Sus scrofa: one gene and its partner. The protein of the gene in region 2 interacts with the protein of the main gene of each other region in a pairwise test. Links are inferred from orthologs where the notes say so. Each region holds a gene or a part of one and is shown on either strand. Other genes may lie near its edges.

Evidence for each region.
Region 1: the proteins of ARID5A (region 2) and CKS1B interact in binary tests that used the Homo sapiens proteins (3 or more experiments, as listed by UniProt). The two-hybrid records come from large-scale screens. The link is inferred for Sus scrofa from reciprocal best matches to the Homo sapiens genes ARID5A and CKS1B.

The regions. Positions count from the first base shown.
Region 1 is NC_010446.5:94,816,322-94,821,563, reverse strand, and holds the start of CKS1B (cyclin-dependent kinases regulatory subunit 1), read left to right. Parts: upstream 1-1,980; 5' UTR 1,981-2,032; coding exon 2,033-2,091; exon of another isoform or gene 2,092-3,338; intron 3,339-4,566; coding exon 4,567-4,694; intron 4,695-5,242.
Region 2 is NC_010445.4:46,711,421-46,716,662, forward strand, and holds the start of ARID5A (AT-rich interactive domain-containing protein 5A), read right to left. Parts: upstream 2,702-5,242; 5' UTR 2,593-2,701; coding exon 2,589-2,592; intron 1-2,588. UniProt on the Homo sapiens protein: DNA-binding protein that may regulate transcription and act as a repressor by binding to AT-rich stretches in the promoter region of target genes.

The sequences.
Region 1 (5,242 bases), on a different chromosome or scaffold from region 2:
CCTGGGAAGAAACTCTATGGCTCTCTTTCCTAAGGCCTCAGCTCCCAGGCCTAGAGAGAATGAAGAAAGTATGCTGCCGGAGCCTCACACCTTCCACACACACAAACACACACCAGGATGTGCTCATCTTCAGAGGCAGGCATTTGGTGGCTGCCTGCAGGATCCAGAGGTCGTGGATGACCAACAGGTGTGGGCATCGTCAGACAAAAGAGAGGAAGCAGGGCTCTTTAAATTTACGTAGGAAGAAAAGAGATTGCTACTGAGAGTCCTGGCCTCTGGGTGTGGGGAAGAAGCTGCGTGTGGCGCCTCAGCCCAGTAGGGAGGAGGAGGCAAGAGCGGCGGAAAGTAGCAGGAAATGGCGAAAGCCTCAGGAATGTTTCCAGAAGGGAAGGCTGGGCAAGCGGGAAAGAGGAATGCCCAGACTAGAACTCTGGTTAGGGGGAAGGGAAGAGCCAGAGAAATGCTGCGGCCTGAGGAGGCCCTTAAAAAAAAAAAAAAAAAAAATCAAAGAGCAAAAAGGACACTGTTCCCTAACCCACTGCAAGCCACTTTCTGGTGATAGAAAATTTGCGCTTCTGTCACACCCACATGTCGCACATCAACAAATCCATGGCCCTACCCAGCTCCCGACGATGACCACGACGACGACGATGGACAGGTATGAGACAAACAGCTGTTTCTGGGGTGGAGTCGGTCCTGGGAAGGGAAACTCAGGGAGTGGGGTTGGGAGTCTATGAGCAAGTCTCCCTCCCGCTCTCGTGCCAAACCCCAAGTCCAGCCCCCTACAAGTAGGTCCACCCTTGTAAGGGGATAAGGACAAGGGCTGCCTCTAATCTCTTACTTCTCAGAACCAGAGATGTGAACTTTTGCCTTCCTACCCGGTGGAGCATGAGAGCTCAGGAAAATTGAGCTAGAGGCCCCAAAGAGAAAAAGAACAGGGAAATGTAAGCAGGTGACGTTCCAGGGGCTGAAGACAAAGCTCCCCAGGCGATGACCTGGGACCTACAGGGATAAAGATCTTGAGGGGGCGTGGTCCCTTAGGACGCGTGCATCAGAGATTTCCAGGAGGCCAGGCTTCTGGGCGATCAGACGTGGATTAGGGAAGGGGCGGAGCTTCTAGAGGGGCGGAAACCCTAGAGAGGAGTGGCTTCACGAATTCAAGCAGATCTTTGAGGGGCAGGGCTTTGCCCTTTGGGGAGATAGGCTTTTTGACAGACAGGAGTTAGCGGAGAATCGTCGCGAGGCGGGGTTTCGGGTAATTGGAAAGACTTAACGTTGGGTTTCTAGGAGTAAGGCTTGGAAGCATGTCTAGGGGTGGGACTTCCAGGAAAGCTGGGCGACGGGGTGGGGTCGGGGACAATAAACGGAAAATAAGTCGGGGTTCAGGGAGCCCCCTGAAGTTGGGAGGTGGGACTTCCGGGGAGGGGGTCGCAGGGGGCGGGACTTATAAATGAAGACCGGAAGTAGGGTCCCGGGAGAGGGGTTCCGGGGTGGAGGGGAGGTTCGCCTAAGGAGAAAAAAAAAGGTCCCAACTCACCAGGGCTTCATGGGGTCTCCGCACCGCACCGCGGGTCGATTTGGTTCCGGATCACGCCACTGCCTCCTTAGGTCGCCGCTCCAACTTTCTCCCCGGGCCCGGCCTCCCTGGAGAAACTTTATTGCACTCACTTCCGGCCTTACTAACCCCTGACCCTCTACCTCATCGTCCCTCCTTCACCCGTCCCACTTTCCCAAATCAGCCAATGATGCGCGAGAACGCTCACAGGGCAGTGATAGCCTATAAGAGGCCTATTTTTGCCCTACGTTTTTCTTTAGAAACTTAAGCAGTGCACTCCAATAAGGACCTGAAGAGAAGCAAATCTAAGCCAATCGAAGGCTTGGAAGTGGAGTTGTCCCGCCTTCCGCCAGGCGGACCAATAGGAAGCGCGGGCGGCGTGTTTGAAAGCGAGGCCAAAGAGGGTGGGAGCGCGTGCTGCTGGGAGTTGTTTGGAGGTTGGCGGTGCGGTGTTGACGGTCCTCTGGCAGAGCGATCATGTCGCACAAACAAATTTACTATTCGGACAAATACGACGACGAGGAGTTCGAGTACCGGTTAGTGCCGGCGCGGGGGCAGTATCGAGGTGGTGAGCTTTGACAAGTGTGGGCACGAGGAATTAGTAACAGGGACCGAAGGTATAGAGTCGGCGCATGCGCAAGAGGTTAACGGGAATGGGTGTGCGCTTTGAGCGTAAGGCGCATGCGCTAAGGGTAGGGGGTCGCTCAAAAAAGCCTAAAAGTGGTAGTGAATTTGTAGTAAGCTCTCCCGTGGGGAGGAGGCGTAGGTGGGCGTGGTTAGAGTGCTGACCATCCCCACTCTTGAGGGTTTCTGGATCATTCTCTCCAATTTGCTCAGCAGATTGAACTTGACTTCTTGAGACTGCTTGTATCACCGCAACACCACAGAGCCTCTGGGGTCGGGAGAAGCTCGAATTTTCCTCGCCTCTTCAAAGTGAGGGGAGTTCTGAGAGAGCCTGAGTGGTGTTCATTAATTCTTGGAAAAGGAGCGTGGTTGTCTGGCTTGTTTTATAGGAAGGGGGCTTTGAAGATCAGGAGTGGAATAAAACTGGCCAGAAGCATTGAGTAAAGACTTAATACGGACCTAATAGATGACCTTCAAATATTTGAAGGGCATCTACTTGGGAAACAGCTTATAGGTTTCAGATGTTGTGCTAAAGTGCAGGGATAAGCCATGGTGCCTGCTTTCACCAAAACTTTTTTAAGTCTGTGGAAATACTCAGAAGGTGGTACTTGGCATGATAGAACTTTGTACAGGCTGTGATGGGAGCAGTAGGACTTGCCAAGCACAGCGAAGAAAGTGAGTCGCTCCAGAGTTTGCATTTGATAAATCCTAACCATAATTCTAGATTAGAAAATTAGGGAAGAAAAGGAGTTCTGCAAATGTTGGCATTCCACCAATCTGTGTTAATTGTAATACTTAAAACACCTGGAAGCTTGGTTGTTTTGTATTTCTTCTGCAGCCTAGTGCAGGGCTCTGGGCCCTCTGGAGAACTTGGAGTGTGCCAACAAATACATAACTATATGTATGCCACATGGTTGGGAAAAGACCCCGAGCCCTGTTTGGACCTAATTAACTTTCTTTTCCTCACCTGTTTTCCTCTCCATCTAAAGGAGGCTAACTAAAATTAGGTGCTTATAATTTATAAGGGCTAGGGGAACATCACTAGTTTCCTCCCCTGGAATATGTAAGACTTGGCAGTGATACCTGGTTTAAGAGAAGAGGTTTTATTATGTGTTGCTTTTTTTATTTGTTTTTTGGGGCTATTGGGATTTTTTTTTGTCTAAATGGGTATGGAAGCCAGTCTTTACTCCAGGGACTTATTAGGATGTAAGCTATTTTCAAATATTTAGACTAGAATGGACTCTTTGGGGTTCCCGTTGTGGTTCAGCGGTCATGAACCTGACTAGTATCCATGAGGATGCAGGTTCAATCCCTGGCATCGCGCAGTGGGTTAAGGATCTGGCATTGCCATGAGCTGTGGTTTAGGTCCCAGACGCTGCTCTGATCCTGAGTTGCTGTGGATGTGGCAGCTTTCATAGGCCACAAGTGAGGCTCTAAAAAGAAAAAAAAAAAATGTCTCTTTGGAGAAAAAAAAAATCTGTTAGCACAGAGAGAGCATTCGGTACATTTTCATTGAACATGCTAAAGTCTGTCTGGGTCAGCCCAATCCAAATCAGAATAGTAACTTCTTTGCCATGAAAGGGACTTATGCTTGATTAGGAAAGCATGCAGTTTCCCAAAAGAAATCTCATGGCACATCCCTTCAGAGTTAGGAAAGTAAAATTAAAGGAGAAGACATTTACATTTCTGCCTTTGTGCTGGCTGCTTTTTTTTTTTTTTTTTTTTTTTTTTGGCTTTTTAGGGCTGCACTAGCAGCATATAGAGGTTCCCAGGCTAGGGGTTGAATCAGAGCTGTAGCCACCAGCCCACGCCGCAGCATCTGCTGCCTACACAACAGCTCACGGCAACACCAGATCCTTAACCCACAGAGCGAGGCCAGGCATTGAAACTGCGTCCTCATGGACACTAGTCAGAATCATTTTCCCTGAGCCACAGTGGAAACTCCTGTATTGGCTTTTCTATACAGTACTCCCTGATAGGCCTTTCCTGTCCATGAAATCATGTCCCTCCCTTCCTTACCAACCCTGTGCAAAACTGCCTTTAATTATTAACACTGTGTGTGTTGTGGGGCTCCCATTATATTGTTCTAGGGTAATCAACTAGAAGACTGTAATCTCCGAGAAGGCTGAGGCAGTGCCTGGAATTTAGGTGCTCCTTCACTGGTGTTATCCATTAATTTGTACTTTTTAATATCCTTTTGTAAGAATTTACGTAACGTGGCCTTTATTTTCTAGCTGCCTCTGCCCCACAGTGAGATTATACAAACTCCCTGCCATTAGGAACCGGTTTTTCTTTCCTTTCCTCTCTTGGTTGTAAATGCAGGCACTCGTCTGACAGTGTACCCGGTAATGAAACCAATTCCCCGCCTTCCCATGTTTCTGTTACAGGCACGTCATGTTGCCCAAGGACATAGCCAAGCTGGTCCCTAAAACCCATTTGATGTCTGAATCTGAATGGAGGAACCTTGGCGTTCAGCAGAGTCAGGGATGGGTCCACTATATGATCCATGAACCAGGTCAGTGCACTGGCAGAAAGCAATCATGTAGGCCTGTGGGAATAAAGGAATGATAAGATCACATGGCCCAGAGAAATAAGGGGAAGGTGGGGGTGGTTTACTGCGTTACCCCACCAGCTATCTAGAAAAACAGAAGTGACCAAAAATAAGAACGTATCTGGGAAGTTCAGACCCAACCTGTCACTGAAAAAAATCTTTAATCTAGTTCAGTCAGAGGGTGCTCTCTTTTTCAGGCCACATATACCCTGGTAGAAGTTATGGCCCCTGCTTCACTCTCCATCGGAAAGTGAATTTTTGGAAGTGTTCCAGATAAACCCAAGGAAAAGTACACTTCTTGATAAAACACCAGACACCAAACTGCCAGGCAAAACTAATAAAGGACACCCTGGGGCTGTACAAACATAGCAAGAGAAACGATGTTAATAATTTTGTACTTGGTACACAGGCCTGGCCTCTGGGTCTGCATCTTAGGTCACATGCTTAAGTCTTAATTTAGTTACAAAGATCTGAGTGGGTGATAGCTGGGAAGTAGGAGCAGATGACACTAT
Region 2 (5,242 bases):
TCACTCCCCACTGTGTCTCAATGCTTGGGGCAGGTGCTCCATAAACACAAGCCTCACTGAGCCTCACGGATGCAGCAGGAGCTACTTGACCTCAGATACTGCTGATGCTGAGAGGAGCTTGGCCTCGACTAGTTCAAGGTGTCTCTCTCTCTCTCTCTGTCTCTCTCTCTCTCTCCTGCACCCCCGCCCCCCAGGCCTCATTCACCCTCAGTGTGATAGGAAGGAAGCAACACTTCCTTTCATGAAAAGTCACCCACTGGGAGCACTGTGTCAATTACGACAATAATGGTAAAGGCAGCTTCAATAACAACCAGCAGACAGGGCCACACCTCCTCCTCGCCTGAGGTTGTTGGCTTAAGTTTCTCTTTGCTCAAGCTGGAGCTAAAACAAAGACAGCTTTTGAAGCGGCCAGTCCACTCTGTGGCCCAGGAGCCAGGCTGCCTGGCCGAGTATCTGTGCGGAGCTTGCTCCAGGGTGGGAGCCCAGGTTTGGGGAGGGGGGACCTGCCAAGGGCTGTGCTCCAGCCAGCACTGAGGACAGTCAGATGGCCTGGACATGGAAGCCATGGGTGTAGCTTGTGCCCTGCCTCAGTGTCTCAGCCGGGGGGAAGTGGGGACAGGGTCTGGGAGCAGCTGGGGCCAAGATGACAGCCTTGAGTCTAGAAAAGTGGGGTCATGGGGGCACCAAATGAGACTACTGTCTCCCAAGCCCTGCTGAGATTTGGTCTCTCTTTAAGCCAGTTAGGGAATATCCTAATGACCCTATTTGGGGATGAGGCTGAATCCCCACTGTCCCTCCTCTCCAAGTCTGGGTGACACCTGATGATAACTGTAACAGCTCCATCTATGGACTGTTTCCTGTGTCCCCATAAAGTAACCTGTGGAGAAACAAAGCTTGGTGGTGGCTTGTCCAAGACACGGCCCAATGGTAGAGGTACAGGCAGGACAGAGGAAGGCTGCCTGACCTCAGCTGGAGGCACTCCTTTGCTTCTCAGTGTGTCCATTCCCTTCCTGCAGCCCCCCAGGGTGGCTCTCCAAGCCAGTAAAGCAAGGTCCAAGAAGGAGGGTGGGTTATCCCAGGCCATGGCCCACCTGGGAAACAGGAGACCACAGGGAAGGGAGAGGGGGCAAGGTCTTAGAAGCTAGATTCATTCTCACTGCCGCAGGGCTAATGTCTAAGCCGCTGCTTCTCACACTCTAAATCAAAGAAGGAAGCACTGGTTGTCTGCGGTCCTTCCTAGCTCTACGGGACTCCAAGTCCTAGGTCCGAGAATGTTCCTCAGGGCTTGTACAGATGGTGGCCCAACCCACTAGCTGCCATCTCTTACCCTTCCTCTGCCCTAGCATGGCTTGTGGCCACAGAGACCCCACATCCCCAACAATGAGGATCCGGATGAAGCAAGAAGCACCTTTTATCCTCCCCTCAGCCCGAAGACCCCTGCTCACTAGCTGACGACCTCGCGAACAAAGGGAACCTGGGTCTGACCAGCCCTGTGACCCCACACCCACACCCTGAGCCCTCCCGAGTGCAGCACTGGCCATCCCCACCCCTACCCCAGCGTCCCTGGGGCTGGAGGACGTGCACCTGGCCCAGCCGCGCCCCCAGAACACTGTGCGCAGGGACCCTGGTGAGGCAGCCGCCGGATTGTGGTCCACGGCTCAGACTGAGGTCGAAGCCAAACACCTCTCCTCTGACGCTCGCAGCCCGCACCGCGCATCTCTGCTCTTCGCCAGCGTCACTCCCGGGGAGCCACCCTGTCCCTTCTGAAGACCCGAGGGGATAGAAAAGAAATAAAGGAAAGAGGAACAAAGAGTGAAGCTACTTCTTTTCTGCCGGAGGTGGGGGGCAGAGGAGGGTGGACCGGAGACAAGAAGAGAGACTAGAGAAGAAAAGAAAAAAAAAAGGAAGAGAAAAGAGAAAGGGTAGGGGGCGAGGAGCGGGTAACCGCCGAAGGATCGGCTGAAAGAGGAACAGTTGATTCTTCAAAATGCATTGAGCAAGTTCTTCAAAATCCGCGCAGAGTCACTTTCAGGAAACAGCGGCCGCCAGTGGAAAGCGCCCCGCGCGCCCAAAGGACCCGGGTGCCTCTTCTCGGCGGCGCCGGCGGGTTCTGAGAACCGCCGGGATGTGACGGGGGAGGGGGTGGGAGGGCGGCGGGGGGGTGCTGCAGGCAGAGAACTGCTGCGGACAGCTGTCACAACAAATTAGCTGAGACCAGCTCGAGATTGAAACCACAGCAGGAAGTGGGATGACAGAACCGTACAGGACTTGGTAAATTTCAGTCAAGAGACGACGAGAAGAGTTTCGAGATAAACGCCCGGGAAGCCCCAGGCCGCCAAAACTTTTTGTCTTTCCTTTTTTCGAAGAGCACGCGCCGACACCCGGCCTCACCCTCCCGCGCCGGGCAGAGGGCGCGGGTGCCCCAGGCCAGGCTAGGTCCCCACGCCCTCGCCCCCCGAGTCCTTCCTCCGCCGGGTTCCGCCCCCCAAGGCAGCACCTACGACTACGAGCACCGGGGCTGACCTGGCACAGCAACCTCCCCATCCCGCGGGGCCGCCACCCCCGTCCCGGGCCGCAGAGACACTCACCCATGGCCCAGCGAGGTGCCGCGGCGCCTGCCGAGACCCTCCGCACAGACCGACGTCCCTACTCTGCGCTCTGCGCGCAACTGGCTGGAGGCACGGATCGCCAGCCGCCTCCCCGTGGCCCCGCCCCGCCCAGCCCTGCCTGGCCCCGCCCCTGTCCCACTGTGGGCTCCGGTTGGCGGGTCCGATTCTCCCCCGAGGGGTAGGGGGCCGCCCCCCGAGCCTGAGGAACTCTGGGAGTTGTAGTGTGCTCTTCTTACTCCCCAGGCTCAGCGACCTGGGCTGCAGAAGTAGGTTTCCCACCTGGAGGGGCTCAGGCAGGACAGCCTGGAGTCACTGCTGCCTGGTGCCAACGGAAGCAAAACTCGAGTCTTGGAAAAATCTTCCTTGCTCCCTCCGTAGGGCAATGGGGCAGTGAACAAAGTGCTTCTGACTTGAACTAGGCGGAAGATATCTCCCACTGTCCCTCCTAGCCCAACACAGAAGTAGAGATGGTTGGTATTAGCTGAATGAGGACCCCAGACCGAATTAGCACATCCTTGGCTAAAGCTCTGTGGGGTCCCAGAAATGCCTGGGACAGGAAACCTGCTGGCAGTGGCTAGTGTCCACAATGTCTCAAAGATAGGGCAGCTACAAAGTGAGCCATCTAAAGAGAGGGCATGGCTCTGGGGAGATGAGAGTGAAGCTTCTGATGGAGCATGGGCCTGAGGAGATGCTGAGCCAACTGCAGCAGGGCTTTGGCTGTATTCACTCCACCGTCCAAGTCACATCTGAGGCTCAGGTTTGAGAGCCCAAGGTCTGGAAGCATCATTCACAGTAGCCAAAAGGTGGAAGCAACCCAGTGTCCACTGAGGGATGAATGGGTTAACTGCGATATGGACATACAATGGAATATCACTCAGCCTTAAAAAGGAGGACAATTCCAACACATACAACATGGATGAACCTCGAAGACAAGATATTAAGTAAAAAAAAAAAAAGACACAAAGGACAAATATTGTGTGATTCCACTTACATAAAGTACTGGTGTCAAATTCATAGAAACAAATAGGATGGTTCTTTGCCAGGAGCTTGGGAGAGGGGAAATAGGGAGTTAGTGTTTAATAAGCACGGAGTTTCAGTTTTGCAAGATGAAAAGGTTCAGGAGGGGGATGGTGGGGATGGTTGCACAACAATATGAATATACTTAATATCCCTGAACTGTATGCTTAAACATGGTTAAAATGGTAAATTTTATGTTATATATATTTCACCACAATTTGAAAAAAGATCCACGCTCTCAGCATCGAGCCCTGTTCCTAACACAAAGTAGGCACGCACAGATTTTTGTTGATTAATTTTTTCTTTTTTTTTTTCTTTTTCTTTAGGGCCACACCTGAGGCATATGGAAGTTCCCAGGCTAGGGGTGGAATTGGAGCTGTTGCTGCCAGCCTACACCACAGCCACAGCAACACCAGATCCAAGCGCTTGTGGCGATGCAGCATCCTTAAACCCAGCGAGGCCAGGGATTGAACCTGTATCCTCACGGATGGATACTAGGGGGATTCTTAACCTGCTAAACCAGAACAGGAACTTCTGTTGATTAGGGGTTTTTTTAAGTTTATTTTTTCCATTATAGTTGATTTACAGTGTTTTGTCCATTTCTCTCTTGATTAGCTTAATACAAAGAGCTCTTTGCATTTCATTTACACCATCATTGTCATCATTTTACAGAGTAAAACTGAGGTTCTGAAGGTTAATTAGCTCAAGTGAGATGGCTGGTAAGTGGTGGAGCCTGAGCTACACCCAGGCATTTGGGCTCTAGAACAGGTGGCCTTAACCATTCCCCTCAGGCATCTCTTGAATCAGAGGCCATGGCCTGAGGAGGAAAATGTGTAAAGGGGAAGACGTGAGAGTGCTGGTGAGAACAAGGTGAGCCAGCGAGATGTCCTGTGCTAGCTGGAACTGAAGAGCAAAGCTAAGACTGGAGCTACAGATGGTTAAGGAGCCCTTGCACCCAGACACCCACCAACCCTGTTTGCATTCATTACCACTCAGCCGTCACCTTAAACAAATGGACCAGGGCTGTAGGTGGGTGGCCCTGAAATCCTGGCCCTTATCCTTTGGCTCTAGGATGGAAGATCTCTCCAGGCTCAGCCCAGAGTGGACAACACTGCGGCTTCCTCGTCTACCTCATCACAGGTTGGTTTGTAAAAGCCAATGCATAGAGACTTGGTAACAGACACAGTATCAACAATAGTTAAGCAACAGCCTGGAACAATTGTTATAATGGTGATTATAACAGTGCACCCCTCTTCCTAGCTTACCAGAGCGCCAGTAGAGTTTTTTTTTTTGGGGGGGGGGCGGATTCCACAGCAAAATCCCATTAGGAAGGTTTATGAGGCTCACTTTGGTCCATTCCATAAGGATTGTTTGCCCAAGGTTCAGGATGGTGACCTGGAAACTGCCCCTTACTGGCTCAGTCTAGGCCAATCCCACCTGCAGGACTGGATACCCCTTCTGATGAGGGACTCACTGCCTGACAAAGCAGCAGCTCATCCCACACAGGACAGAGTGATTCGCCATCCAGGCAGCCCAGCACAATTTACAGACAGCGGCTGTTGTGCAAAGCCTCAGCAAGTCAACACCTGCCTGTGCCAACCTGGGAACAATCTGAT